Danio rerio: one gene and its partners. Each later gene encodes a partner of the first gene's protein in a complex. Links are inferred from orthologs where the notes say so. Each region holds a gene or a part of one and is shown on either strand. Other genes may lie near its edges.

Evidence for each region.
Region 2: the proteins of rangap1b (region 1) and ran are in contact, whole or in part, in a cryo-EM structure (PDB 9B62), measured with the Homo sapiens proteins. The link is inferred for Danio rerio from reciprocal best matches to the Homo sapiens genes RANGAP1 and RAN. Residues at the interface, in NP_001265580.1 of Homo sapiens: Ser29, Gly58, Asn59, Thr60, Asp86, Thr89, Gly90, Arg91, Leu92, Arg93, Ile96, Asp121, Ala123, Phe124, Gly125, Asp127, Asn151, Cys152, Gly153, Met154, Gly155, Arg189, Asn190, Arg191, Gln217, Asn244, Asp245, Asn246, Thr247, Asp273; in NP_006316.1 of Homo sapiens: Asp18, Gly20, Tyr39, Val40, Ala41, Thr42, Leu43, Gly44, Val45, Glu46, Glu70, Lys71, Leu75, Arg76, Tyr79, Asp91, Thr93, Ser94, Arg95, Val96, Thr97, Asn100, Lys123, Asp128, Arg129, Lys130, Lys132, Lys134.
Region 3: the proteins of rangap1b (region 1) and senp2 are in contact, whole or in part, in a crystal structure (PDB 2IO3), measured with the Homo sapiens proteins. The link is inferred for Danio rerio from reciprocal best matches to the Homo sapiens genes RANGAP1 and SENP2. Residues at the interface, in NP_001265580.1 of Homo sapiens: Glu467, Asn508, Thr511, Thr514, Arg515, Val518, His519, Leu523, Lys524, Ser525, Glu526, Asp527, Val529; in NP_067640.2 of Homo sapiens: Tyr408, His409, Trp410, Val477, His478, Asp495, Met497, Gly498, Gln499, Lys500, Pro536, His537, Gln541, Gln542, Asn544, Gly545.
Region 4: the proteins of rangap1b (region 1) and xpo1b are in contact, whole or in part, in a cryo-EM structure (PDB 9B62), measured with the Homo sapiens proteins. The link is inferred for Danio rerio from reciprocal best matches to the Homo sapiens genes RANGAP1 and XPO1. Residues at the interface, in NP_001265580.1 of Homo sapiens: Ala2, Asp5, Ile6, Leu9, Ala10, Thr12, Leu13, Ala14, Thr16, Gln17, Val18, Ala19, Gln22, Leu23, Ser24, Phe25, Lys28, Glu44, Arg55, Ala561, Thr564, Lys565, Pro566, Ser568, Glu571, Ser572, Ser574, Phe575, Arg577, His578; in NP_003391.1 of Homo sapiens: Lys245, Ser248, Thr249, Tyr252, Lys253, Glu281, Gln282, Val284, Thr285, Leu289, Met292, Gln293, Gln296, Arg340, Asn342, Leu343, Lys514, Val518, Ile521, Lys522, Leu525, Glu529, Arg532, Lys534, Lys537, Ala538, Ala541, Met545, Phe554, His558.

What each region holds. Positions count from the first base shown.
Region 1 is NC_133187.1:20,673,191-20,677,469, reverse strand, and holds the start of rangap1b (ran GTPase-activating protein 1b), read left to right. Parts: upstream 1-1,450; 5' UTR 1,451-1,509; exon of another isoform or gene 1,510-1,562; intron 1,563-2,025; 5' UTR 2,026-2,045; coding exon 2,046-2,157; intron 2,158-2,256; coding exon 2,257-2,384; intron 2,385-2,938; coding exon 2,939-2,998; intron 2,999-3,632; coding exon 3,633-3,812; intron 3,813-4,006; coding exon 4,007-4,141; intron 4,142-4,279. Other genes in the region: plbd1b (phospholipase B-like 1), read right to left, coding at 1-185, 704-773. UniProt on the Homo sapiens protein: GTPase activator for RAN. Converts cytoplasmic GTP-bound RAN to GDP-bound RAN, which is essential for RAN-mediated nuclear import and export. Mediates dissociation of cargo from nuclear export complexes containing XPO1, RAN and RANBP2 after nuclear export.
Region 2 is NC_133189.1:25,983,444-25,986,248, reverse strand, and holds part of ran (GTP-binding nuclear protein Ran), read right to left. Parts: intron 1,262-2,805; coding exon 1,177-1,261; intron 1,058-1,176; coding exon 932-1,057; intron 859-931; coding exon 671-858; exon of another isoform or gene 1-670. UniProt on the Homo sapiens protein: GTPase involved in nucleocytoplasmic transport, participating both to the import and the export from the nucleus of proteins and RNAs. Switches between a cytoplasmic GDP- and a nuclear GTP-bound state by nucleotide exchange and GTP hydrolysis.
Region 3 is NC_133181.1:12,359,981-12,363,549, forward strand, and holds part of senp2 (sentrin-specific protease 2), read left to right. Parts: intron 1-2,771; coding exon 2,772-2,878; intron 2,879-2,976; coding exon 2,977-3,055; intron 3,056-3,569. UniProt on the Homo sapiens protein: Protease that catalyzes two essential functions in the SUMO pathway.
Region 4 is NC_133192.1:25,319,435-25,323,003, forward strand, and holds part of xpo1b (exportin-1), read left to right. Parts: intron 1-1,166; coding exon 1,167-1,268; intron 1,269-1,914; exon of another isoform or gene 1,915-1,989; intron 1,990-2,179; exon of another isoform or gene 2,180-2,246; intron 2,247-3,569. UniProt on the Homo sapiens protein: Mediates the nuclear export of cellular proteins (cargos) bearing a leucine-rich nuclear export signal (NES) and of RNAs.

The DNA of each region.
Region 1 (4,279 bases):
GTATGTGACTTCATCATTCTCCTGGGATTCTCCATAACCAGCTTGCACTTCCAGCACTCCCCATCCAGAAACAGACAAACTATCATTGAAATAACCAAAGGCATCTCCATTCTCTTCCATCACATCCTCTTTCAGGACCACAGACCTCTGAACAGCATCCCAGTACACAGTGGCTCTCTGAACATCTTAAACAATTTAAAAAGACCACATATATCAATAAACATTATAGGTTGACTTGTTTTATATTGTCTTGGTTTGATAAACAAATGCCAAGTATGATAACAAGTTTGTTGTAGTTCTAGCCAAGCGTTTTCAACTTGGTTAAACGGATATTTTACGCAAAAAAGAGAGAAAATTGACTCGCTATATACAGTAGCCTACTCAACCTCGAGTGGTTCCAAGCCCTATGAGTTCAAGATATTTAAGAAGAAAATCGTTTAAAGAAAGTTGAAACCCTGTATCCATATATCCATAGTAGGAAATGAGTCGGTTACTGGTTTTCAGCTTTTTTTCAAATGTGTTTTGCAGAAAAAAGGTAGTTCAAACTGGTTTGGAACAGGTAGAGGATGAGTTAATAATGACAGTTGTATCTGAACAATCAATTTAAGGAATACTAGCCTTCTAATGTTATGTAAACATACAAAAGGACATGTTACCACTAAAACGTGACTTTAAGTGAGTGGAATTAATTTAAAATACTCACGCTGAGCCATTACGAATGTCGCCGCGAGGACGCACAATATAAATACCCTTGTGACGTTAAATCGATACATGTTTCACGCTGAATTAGACTAAGCTTAAGTTTACTTTCTGGATCTGGTTAATCATGGTATGTAATCTGTAATCAAACACTGGGCAAATATAACATCCCAGAATATAATGCTAGACTAAAGTACGAAAAACCAAGATTTGGTTATTCAATTTAGAACTTAAAGACGTTGTATGTCCACATTAACTGGTTTTCTGTCGCAGATCGCCTTGTGTGTGATTAAAAGATTTCCACCCCAGATGGGACTCGAACCCACAATCCCTGGCTTAGGAGGCCAGTGCCTTATCCATTAGGCCACTGGGGCTTGCGTCATGGAGTGTGTAGAATGTGTATTACAAACGGTCTTATAAACGGAATGCAAGTCGTACATTTAATCTAACTTGTTTTACCAAATTTTAAATATAATTAGTAAATACAAATGATTTGTTATTCAGCTATATATTTACATGAATCAGCATTCTTATTTAAGTCACACATTTGTCTAATGTTAAATTTATTTCAACGTGCAACATTTTATTGATTTATTATAAAAATAAAAAAACAGTAATAAAAAACAGTATTTAAACAGTATTTAAATGAAAAATTTAAACCGAAAAATAATGACGTTTTCAGTAACGCTGTGCTATTATAACAATCAAAAATATTAATCGTGCTTTTATTATGAAAGATCATGACACCGGCACTTTCAAAGGACTGCCGCCTCCATGTGCCTCCTGTTTTGATGGTTTTATTCTGGTAACGTAAGTTAGTTATCTGCTATCTTCCTCCATTAAAATCCGCGCCGAGGTGTGAGGTAAATAGAAAACATTCACTTACTTTTTTAGATTTAACCAAAGTTCCTGCGCTAAATTAGCTAGTTTGAAGTCATGAATGAGATTAATGCTAGTAAGCTAACTCCTCTCTGAGTTAGCTTAAACCGTTTGTGTATCAGCCGTAGTACCAATGATGCAATGATATTATCATACTAGCTAGCTGTTTGAGGACTATATTGAGCTTAGTAATACTGTTTAAAGTTCATCAAGCACATTTCAAATATAACACGTAGCGTTATTTCTTTGGCTGTCATTTATATCCATGTTTAGAGATAACGTTAAGCTAGCAGTGGCTATATTAATATTACAGTCTTAATAACAATGAAGTAAGATTAAGGATGTACTTTTTATATATCCTAAATAAATTCATATGATTGTGAGGTATGTTTTAGGTTTAACGAGATACATTTTTGAAACACACTTATGTCTTACTAACTTTATTAGAAGAGAAAACGGGGAAAGCAATGGCCTTAGGGGATATTGCTCAGATTACAGAGGCTCTGGCCAAAACTCATGTTGGAGAAGTGGAGTTAAGTTATAAGGGACGAGGGCTGAAGCTGGACAATGCAGAATCAGGTGAGTAAAACGTTCTCTGTATTATCAAATTTGTTTATTTTTCATGTCTTAATCCATAAGCAACATCTCTTGGAATTCCCTCCTTTTCTTTTGTTACAGTGAAAGAGATTGTGGAGGACATTGAACGGTGTCAGGGTCTGCAGTCTCTCCGGTTAGAGGGAAACACATTGGGTGTTGAAGCAGCAGATGCCATTGCGAAGTCGCTTGAAGCTAAACGTGAACTGGAGGTAGTTTTAAATTACTAGTAGACATATGCAATAAACTGAGATAACGAGCATACACAATATTGATATCATGGGCTCTTCAAAATGTTAGTTAACGTCTTATAATGCATAAAAAATGTTGATTGGAGTTAATGGCTAATACTGGTCAGTTGAATTTTTGACATACTAACTTAAACATAGTTACTATAACTGCCCTTTTTCTCAGTGTTAATTTTAAATTTAATGCATTAATTAACAATTACTATTAGGACTTTATTGTAAAGTGTAAAGTGTTACCTAGTGTATTAGTGCAATTAAATTTGTTTGAAACATTTGTTTGCTCTCAGCAGATATGTACAATTAAGCAATACAATAATTGTTTGTTTTTCTACGTTACATGAACCTTTTTGCAACTTTGGTTAATATTGTGACAATTGTGGTATAATGTACAGTGATAAAACCTTCAGGATTTAATTGCAGCAAGAAAATCTGATACCATCCTAAACCTAAATACCACTGCACAGTTTTTACTTTCACTTTGCTGCTTTTATAACTTGTCTTTTTTTTTTCTCTCAAAGCAATGTCATTGGAGTGACATGTTTACAGGCCGCCTTCGCTCTGAAATTCCACCTGCTCTGGTAAGCTTTTGTATATCCAGTTAAAAACATTTATTTATTTCTTTTAGGGCTGCACAATGTGATGCACAATCACATTCAGGTATAAGAAATTGTACCTTTTTTTTTTACCATAACTGATTATATTAATGAATTATTTTTATCATTCAGTTACTGTACTTGAATATTGTTTGACTCAGGAAATAATAAAACACTTTATTTCAATTGTATTTTTCTTTCTTGATTGTATTTATGGATTGTTAAGCATAAAATACTCAAAACACATGCAAAAACAGAAATACACTGTAAATAGCACAGACCACAATGAAAATGTGTCGGGGTACCTGTAAAAATGTATAGATTGTTTATTAGATTTTATAGAGGTGCTTTTCCACTGCAGTATCATCCCAATCGATCTAACATTATAAATTCTTCCCAAATAAAGATATTATGAAGTTATCTGGTGAAATTGTATTCTTAGCGCAATGTATATCGCAAGATAAGAAAATATTGCAATGTTAGATTTTTCAAATATTGTGCAGCCGTAATTTCTATGCATTCTTCAAGTAAATTGTTTTCATTCAAAACAATTCATTCTTCATTTTTCATTCAAAAGTAAATTGCTGATATTCTAACCAACGGTTTTCTCCAATTTTAGAAATCACTGGGCAATGCTTTGATGACGTCAGGGGCTCGCTTGACTCAGCTGGACCTGAGCGACAATGCTTTCGGCCCTGATGGAGTGAAAGGAATCGAAAACCTCCTAAAGAGCTCTGCGTGCTACACTTTACAGGAGCTCAGGCTTAATAACTGTGGCATGGGCAGTGGAGGAGGGGTGGTAAGTTTAGTATTAAAAAAACTCTGGTCCAACCTAAGAAAACCCTGTTTATCTGCTTGTTATTAGGTCAGTGAAGTAGGCTTTTGCTCTCTGACATGATTATAAACGTGTTAATACTTTTTGAGGTTTACAGCACAGGTTTGTCTGTGTATTTTATTTATTTATTTATTTTTTTTATTTATTTATTTTTTTAGGTCCTTGCTTCTGCATTGACTGAATGCCATAAGCAGTCAAGTGCTGCTGCCTCCCCACTGAGGTTAAAAGTCTTCATAGCTGGACGTAATCGCCTGGAGAATGATGGTGCCACTGCACTTGCCAAAGCATTTAAGGTCTGAGGCATAACTTATTCATCTATATATATCATGATTAAGTATCTGGGTGCACATAGATGCATTAAATATGTAAATGAAGACTTTATATTTTTCAAGACCTTATTAGCGTCATCATGGTGAAATGAATGCTGGTTT
Region 2 (2,805 bases), on another chromosome or scaffold:
TTAAAGTTTTTGCAGGGTTTCTGCAAGTTTCTTTTAAGTAAATTTTAAGACCCTAGTGAATTAAATTTTAGAGACTTACACAGATCAAAACATTAAGGATTTATTTTTTTAAATGGGCCAGCTACTTCTGTAGATAGTTTTTTGGATTAAAGGCAAATCATGTAAGGAATGTTAAACTTTAGTTTTCCTTCCCTGGATAGAGAACTTAATTTGCAAAAAAAAAAAAAAAAAAAAAGAAGAAGAAGAAGAAAGCTTAGATATGTATTGCTGATCAGGTGTCAGCTTCATAGGGTGGTTTTTACCTGGACAAAGAAAAATGAAGATTTGTTTTAAATGATTTTTGACCTACAACCCAATATTTAGGACCTACAACCCAATATTTCAGTGGATTTAAATTGTAAGGGCTTAAATTGTGTTTTTTTATTTTATTGAAGACCTCACGAATAAACAGTTTTGAATATTTTGTCTGGACAACAGTTGAACAGCAGCTCACACTAAATTGACAGCAATAAAACAGCACTTCATTTCACCCATCTAAATGAATTAAAGTCTGTCATATTTAGCGGAAGATTAATTTGATAAAAATCAGGAAGTGTTATATGAACTAAACCCATGCATGGATTATTTGTTGACGTTTCTATCATTCTATCTTTAAAATGATGCAACATACCTGTAGATTCTTCTTACGGTGAAACACGATGCTCTTTGCTTTGACCTTCCTGTCCTTGATGTCCACTTTGTTACCACAAAGCACTATGGGAATGTTCTCGCACACGCGCACCAAGTCACGATGCCAGTTGGGCACATTTTTGTAGGTCACTCGAGAAGTTACATCAAACATGATGATTGCACATTGAGCTAGAAAAACAGAAACACATGTTAATCCACTGTTGCCTCATCAGCAAAGCATATAAACAGAAGAGTTTCATACCCTGGATGTAATAGCCATCTCTCAGGCCACCGAACTTCTCCTGTCCGGCTGTGTCCCATACATTATATTTGATGGCTCCTCTGTTAGTGTGGAAGACCAGGGGATGTACCTCAACTCCAAGTGTAGCTAAAACGACACAATTAAAAGCAGCATATTAATGTCAGGATCACACAAGTCGCACATTCTTCCAGAAGTTTCACTGAGATGTCACCTGAATAAGTGTTTCATGTGAAGCAAACACTTACCAACATATTTCTTTTCAAACTCCCCAGTCAAGTGTCTCTTCACGAAGGTGGTTTTCCCCGTACCTCCATCACCTACCAGAACCAGCTGTGGTTGGGGGGAGAAAAAAAAAATTCGACATTAGCAAAACTAGCATCACATAAGCAGCCCTTCAAATTGGTTAGACAGACCTTAAAAGAAAATAATTGCTTGGATAAAACAGTCATTTATGACCTCACAGATACAATTTGCTATAGATTACACAAGGGCATTACAGGCATAGATATAAAGATGGGATCTAACCGCAATGATCAATTTATTATTAGTAATGATGGAAGACTATCCCAATTGTCAAATTGTCAACCCAATTTGAGTTTGCACTTAAATTATCTTACGTATGTATATCAGGGCTCGACAATAAGGACTGCCCGATGGCCCAGGCCCAGCATGCGAGACACTCAGGAGAGTACACAATTGTTACTGGCCCGATCAGGGTGCTGCCGTGTTGCTAAAGTTTTATTTTGGATGTGAATGTTTGTCAATCGTGCCCAAATAGGGTGCTTTTCACACCTTGACATTTTTTACGAAACCGATCTTGTTTGCCCAGTAAGCGTGGTTTGTTTGGCATTTGTAAAACTAGTAATCGGGTCCTGATCTGCCCCGAAACAATTGGTCCGAGACTGCCTGAATGAGGTGTTCTCGGCTTAATTGAACAACTCTGGAGTGGATCAATTGTATTAACCAAAAGATCCAATAAACTAACAAATCAGGCTAAATCCGTGTTTTATGGTTGTGTAATAGCCACATATATGGCTTTACGAAGTAAGGGTGTCACAATCCTCCAAATCCCTGATTCGATTACATTTTCGATTCTAAAGTCACGGTTCGATTCGATTTAAAAAAGAACAATTAAATAATCATAAATGAATAATACAGTAAATGAATAAAAATAAGTTACAAACATAATTGCCATCCGGAAATCACTTTCCGCGAGACTCGTGAATAGGCAGTGATCTGTGTCCTTATAATGGCATCAGTAAAAAAAGGTCCACAACCAACAGGACCAAGCCAACAGTATCTAAGGCGTTCGCTAAAATTACCAAGTACAAGTGTAAAAGTGAAAGATTGAAGCAGTCTACTGACCCGCTGACTGCCTGGACTGCTGTCTTGAGCAGATGACAATGTGTGTGCCTGCCTGTGTGTATGTGGTCACGTGATGTGCGTTTTCAGCGGTAGTGAGGAAGGAGGGCTGCTCAGAAATGCAAGACGTCTGTGTGGATGTGGATCATTATAAAATGCCATTCAGGGCCTACTCACACTATGCCATCCGTACCGTGCCCAGGCCCATTTCACGGATCATTTGAGAAGTGTGAGTGCGCTGAATCGGGCTCAACCACGGTTCACTTGGCCGGCCCTGGCCTGGTTGGAAGAGGTAGGCCTGAGCGCAGTTCACTTGGGCTTTGGCGCGGTACGCTTGTAGTATGAGTGCAAAATGCGCCAAAGCCCGAAACTGAAAGCGAGACGTCTATTAAGTAACTTTTATATGAATTTATTAATCATTCTTACTGTTCAGTGAACACAAACTGCCGTAGGTTATTAAAGACATAAACCCCTCACTGCACCACAGCTACGCTCCTTCAGCAGACCTCCTC
Region 3 (3,569 bases), on another chromosome or scaffold:
TTCGCGGTATACGGTATGTTACAAATGTTACAAAATAATAGAACAGTGAAGCAAATTTGACTTTTTCCAAATAATATATTTTCAGTTACTATAAACAACACCACTTACAATGAACAAATAAAAATAAGAAAATAATAAATAATGTGTCAAAGTCCAAATAAAGTCCAAATAAACATGGTGCAAATCCTCAGTAAAAAATAGATATAAATATTTACTATACTATAAATAGTTACATAACGAAACTAGATTCAATATGGAACATCCTTAGGTTTTATGTGCCAGCATGGATATGGTTGTCTATCGATATGGATTTGGATATGGTTGTCTGCAATGCAGACAAACAGCTGCACCTTCATTTGCGTCTTTTGAAAACAGCAAGAGCAGCAGTTCGTCTTTGCTGTGTCACTGTTTTGTCATGTTTCTGTGCTGCTGTGCATGCAAAAGTACTTAGTATGAGAATTATTTCATGCAAAACTTTTTTTTTTTGCGTTTTATTTAGCCGCGCATAAATGTATGCCTATCTCTCATTCCGTGTTGTTCAAAAAGCTTGGTCCACAAACAAAAGCGAAACCTATGCTTATTGGTTGTGATATAGCGAGTTTGAACCAATCTGAGCATGGAGGAGGGACAATGCATCAATGTATCATGTCTGATTTGTCCGGAGACACAGTGACGAGCGTTTCTTTGTCAAATCAGCGTTGTCAAATTTTGATGACGTAACCGCACTGATTCCGGAGCCTCTGAAAGTCCACGAATGTTATGTGATACAGCACTGGAAAGCTGAGATTCTCTTCTTTATGCCAATCTTTGAATTGTATGAATCGGATCAGCGGATCAAAAGTAATTAAACATTTAAGAGCAATACTTATTTTTAGCCGCGGGCGGCTGTCTCGGTCTTTAAGGGTTAAAACCGTTGATATGCAATTGTTCATGGTATGATAATCGTGCACGTTCAAATCGTGATAAACCGTCATACCAGTATATTGTTACAACCCTACAACACCGGCACTGCATTTTCCTCTGTTGCATCAGTGATGGGTCGTTCTTAAACGATTCGTTCATTTTAAACATCTTTTTTGTATGACTCATTGAGTGAATCATTCATTTGAGCATGCTCACATTTGTGCAATTGGAGATCATGTGCTACCTTGGAGTGGTCTGTTTCACACAGAATGTGCATGTGTGGCCTCAACCCATATCGATATGCAAGATATTGGATAATCCCGCATTGCGTTTAGGGAATCCTATCGATATATATCCCCAGATACCGCACAGCTCTTGTACATATAGGCATCTGTGACAGTTTTTCACTGTGCTGGTGGTTTATGTACATCATTTTGGTTGTTCTGTTAGTGTAAGTAAACGTCTTTTTGCAGTGTTTGCTTCCATTTAGTGTTTTTTCTGGCGCACTTCACCGCTGTCATTTTAGTCTGCCGCTCCACCTCTTGCTCGCTGCTGATGTGCAGGTTAAGTGAGTTTGTGCCTGTAAACACATCACCCCTCTGTTTAAAAAAAAAATCTATCGCGATTCCTTCAACATTTCTACCAGTTTGAATACCAGTTTCACATATTTGAATCGATTTTCAACCGGCTCATGTTGAGTCATAACATCCCTAATGGAAAACAGTTGACTTCAATGTCATTTGCATGAAATACAATGAACAAATAACTATTGTGTATAAGTTGAATCCACCAAGGATACAAATGAAGTATACAGTGCTATTTTTTTCCTGAGAATTTCTAACAGTGTTTTGAAACAGAAATTGAATAATCAAATATGAAAATCTTCACTGTGTAAATTAAATGCAGTTAGAGCTAAACTGATTGTTTCTAGTCATTAATTCTTTAAACTCAATTGGAATGTTTACATTTAAAAACACACACAAATGATAAACTTTCACACTATTATGGTTAAACTTTGCAATTGATAGACAAATCAGTGTCACCTAAGCATTGTAAGCTGTAATATCTGGTCAGCATTGAGGTAAAGTTGGTTTTATATTCGCACATTCGTTCAGTGACAACTTAAGACACGCTCCTTATATTGTTTACTATGGTACTTTGAATATTCAGTCTGAAATCACATGTAAGTATGACTTCAGAACAACATTAGCATTATTTAATTGGCTGTAAACAATGCTGTACTTTGATAGTCTTTGCCTGCTAATATGATTTTCCTATTTAAAATTTGCAAATAAGACTCTTCTGATAATATGATATTGAGAAAGTCTAAATGCGTGAAAATAAAACAAACTTTACTACACATTCTGCAATATACAAATTATTACAGTGCTCACATTACTTTATCAATGTTGAAGCAATATAGTGTTTAGCTGTACTAGTCTAATACAAAAAATGGGGACTTTTTTCGAATTGGGGAACATTTTTCCATTGTTTTCTTCAGAACAGTGTCAAATCCAGCACAATATGAACTACATTGGTGCAACTGACTTCTGAATGGGCAAATACATGTCATATATACCCTGGCACGGTATTTTAAAATGTTACTTTATGCTCAAAATCATCAATCTTTTAGCTATTGATTTTGTTGAATCAGCACATGACACCGATGTTGGCAAGCATATGCCACTAGCCAGTTCCTTCTGACTGAATACTACCATAAAAAAACGATCAGGGTGGAAATTAGTTCTAATGAACCAGGCCTGATGGCTAGTTTAATGGCGGAGTTTATGTAACTACAAAATGTGAAAGTGCCTATTGCTCCTTCACTGGATTTTTCTCAGTCATTTTCTGTCTCTTTCTCTCTACAGATGTGATTGTCAGGGTGGTCAAGAAAACTTTTGCTGGAATTGCTGGCCTGTTCCGTTCGAGAGTCCATAGAAAAGCTGAACATGAAAAGCAGAATGCCTTCACGCAGGTACAATCATCATAAAATCCTCACTCGAATGCCATCTTTGCACACCCTTGGTTTTATTCACTGTTCACATGGTCTTGTTTCTTGTTTTGCTTGCTCAGGTTGGCAGGGTTACATTTATGGGTATTGATGACATATACAGCAACAGCCTGAGTTCATGGATTGAAAGTGACGGCATGGGTAAATGTGAACTCATTTTACTTTTTTTTTTTTTTTTTTTGTGAGTGTGTAAGTGTGAGTGATCTGGCTAAGAATTTGACAGACACAAACTACTGTTCAAAAGTTCAGGATCAGTCCTATTTTCATTTCTTTCAGTGAGTCATACAGAAAGCCTTTGCATCTTCCATAGTAATACTAAGCAGTATTGCTGTTTTTTTTTATATATATATATATATAAAGATTTAAAATAAGAAATGTTCAGATCAGCATATTAGAAAGGCCTCTTGGGGATCATTTAAAAGTTCAGCTTTGCCTTTACAGGAGTTCCAGTTTAAATAGAAAGTAATTTTAAGTTGCAAATTATGGAAGCATACGAGTAGCATAATTCAATTAAAAATGTAATATGCAAAATGGCAATGCAATATGTTAAATGGCAATGTATTTCTGTATTTGAATTTGCATTTTCCAAGACATATGAGCAATGTTTGGTGCAGAATGAAAATGTAAATTAAATTACATTGTTTGCATTTCTCAT
Region 4 (3,569 bases), on another chromosome or scaffold:
TGATCAAATTTTTCCAAGTAAATTTTTTCAATTACTTTCCCTACCATGTGTTGAGTTACGTGACCCCGCTTGTTCAAGGCCAATTTATCCTATTATATTCCATTTTATACTTCTGCCAAGGGCACATACAGTCCAGCAAAGCGTTCACATACCTGCACACTTCTCAAAAAAATGTAATTGCGCGTCACAACGACACGTTGCACAAGCTTTGTGATTGGTCAGTTTGGTAGAGGTGACGTGGGTGCGCGGCGTGGAGAGCCGCGTTTTAGGCACTGTTTGTCTTTATCTCAGTTGTTCAATATTGATGTTCAATAAATAATCATAGACAGTAGATAGTGTGTGTTTCCTTTAATTTTAATCAAGTAATGCACAATCAAAAATCTCTCACTTGTAATATGTGAGCACATTTACTGTACAAAACTTGTCAGTGAACTATGAGGGCAAAAACATAAAACAAATAAATTAAACAATCTTTCATTAATCGTAATCGAGTTAAAATGTTTAATTAATCGAGATTTAGGTTTTAGGACAAATCGTTCAGGCCTAGTTCATGCAGAAAACGGTAGTAAATCTGCACCTGCCTTTGCATTGATTTGCTCACTGATGTATTCTGCATTGTTCTCTATCTGTTGAGTGACAGTATGTTTTATATATATATATATATATATATATATATATATATATATATATATATATATATATATATATATATATATATATATATATATATATAACAGATTCATTTACAACATTAAATTTGAGTTTACTTTTGTGTAGCTTAACAATACAACAAACAAATGAAAAATTTTGTTTAATTGGATTAAATTGAATTAATTTATTTTTATTAGTTATTTAAAATCCTTAGGGTTTGCAGAAATTATGTATTTTTACATGAGGAACCTTACTGTGACATTCTGTTACCACTGAAAATATTCTTCTTTCGTTTAAATTCAAAATGCATCTTAGAAATAAATTGTACTCAAAAATAATATAAAAAGTTGGCAGCTTTTTACAATTGTACAAATATATATATGTCACTTTTTAAATGGCAGTGTTTGTTTATTTACTATATACATTAGTGAATGCACTGACATCATTAACACTCAGCCAGTATATTGTTGCACCATAGTGTTATACAAGTTAAGATGAATGTTTTTTTGTTTCAGCAAAGAATGGCCCAGGAGGTGCTGACTCATTTGAAGGAGCACCCAGATGCGTGGACACGAGTCGACACCATTCTAGAGTTCTCTCAAAACATGAACACCAAAGTAAGCAGAGACCCAACTTGCTCCAGTTGGTGGGTCATGGTTTCTATACTTTGAGGAAGATCTGATCTCTTATCACACATCATACAAAATCACAATTTGGTTTTTGGCTCTTTCTTTCGAACCAGGAAGGTTGCCTTATGTAAGCAAGACCCTTTTTTAAGCGTACTGGGGTTGCTTAGCATCAAGTCAGAAACAGATTCCTTTGTGCACATGTGAGATCACATTTTCCTTCACTCTCCTCGCATTCGTTTCCTGGTCAAGAAAAGTCAGAGTTAAAGTTGATGTGTGAGGATCCTCTGTTGACGGTGAAATGCCTCAGTACCTCCATCTGTACAGCAGCCAGAGGTGCTTTGATGACTGACTGTTTGAGGTCAGGATGTATTAAAACAGTGATCCATGAATTCTTATTTTATCATTTTTATATAAAGGAAAGCAGAGGATCCATGTACAATTTCTGGTTTTACAAGTAAACATTTCTGCACTGATAAAACCTTAAGTCTTTTTTGTATTTGGGATGAATGGTTTTCCTCACTGTGTTAATAGACTTCCTCAAAGTACTGCTGACCCAGTTTGCCGTCTGCTTGCCTTTTTAAGATTGCTCTTAACACTCTGGTCATTACTAATGTTTGAGTTGATTTATCAACAGTATCGATAATATCAAAATGATAATGGCCCAAAAGTGAGGCCTCTAGAGGAACAGACAGGAAAAAATACAGAGCAGGTAAATTCTTTGAATTTGTCTAAATTGATCAAGAAAAATACAGAACGAGCGCTTTAAAGTGCTGTTGAACATTTGGCTTTTTGCTTAATTTATTTTACAGTCGGTGAAAAAGCAAACAAATTCAATTAATTGAAGTTGTTCATATTTGATATTAATCACAATGTTCCATTATGTTGATTGCTTGTAATAGGACGAAAAGGGGTGTGTCTTCCTGTGCACCTTGACACAGCTAGGCTTTGGCGGCAGGCCTCCACAAGGTCTACCTTTTCATTCCCTTACTCTCAATTCTGCTGTGCCTCCATTCACACTGCACATGCCTCATATGGAGCTGAGAGACGACAGGGAGATAGGCAGGCAGTTTACCCCATTTTTATTTCTACCCCAATCATGGGTGGTTACAGCTATTTTCACTGTAGGGATTATCAGTGTCTGTGCTGTGCAATCCGTTTTCTCCCTAAGCATTTCTGCATTTCTATCCTGGCCCTGTAATTTTTCTCCCAATCATGCACCAAGAAATGTTGCAACATCACATGTGAGCAGTCAAAATATAATACTTTGCATGCTGTTGCAATGTTAATATTTATTTGAATTCTTGGGACAATTAAAGGTGAACGCCTACTGGTGATTTTCATTGGGTGAAATACTGGGTTTCTGTGGGGTCTTAAAATCTTACATCTCAATTTACTGAAATATTATGTTGTAGGTCTTAAATGTTTTTTAAACAGGTCTTAATTTTTCTTTGTTCATATATTGCTACCCAATCTAGCCAAAACCCATACAATCACTAAGAATCCATCTCAGTAAAACTTTAAACTCTTTATAGAGGTCATTTTTAACTCTATTTATCATAATGGTTTAATAATTTTTTTTACAATAACATTTGTTTAAAATTCTTCATGTATTTTCTGCTGATGACACCGACCTGGACTGTTGGAATGTTGCGCATAGATTAAGTTTATAATTTGTTTTTAAAACTTTAAAGCTTTTGTTCATTTATTTTTTTTAAAAGAAAGTTTATGTTGGAAAAAAAGTGTATGGAAAGTAGAGCTTGCTTGTTTTTACACAATATTTAAATTATTTAGCTAAGAAATAAAATCTAATTTATTTCATTGTTTATTATTAATGTTATTTATTATTGTATTATTAAATGTATTAAATTATAATATGTTTTTTTTAATAGGTCAAATAAAAATATTTTTAATCTGGGCCATTTGAAAAAAGCCTAAGTCTTTAGCCCATTTTTGAGTTTCATTGATAATGGTCTTAAAAATGTCGTAAGTCTTAAATTTAACTTGGTGAAACCTGCAGAAACCCTGAAATCTTTGCATATGCAAGTAACCTATTTCTCCAGGCCTTCAACCTTTAATATCCTTCTGTCATCAGTATTTTCTGTTTTCCTTTAACACATTAACATTTTTGTCTCACGTTTTTTGCCTCTTCTTATTAATCCCTACAGTCGAAATGCTGATGATCCTAATAACACTAGTGACCATAACAAGGACACTAATGCACCATGAATACTTTCTTAAAAGCAGCATGTAAAACATTTTAAGGTAGTTTTATAGATCCAAACCTGTGGC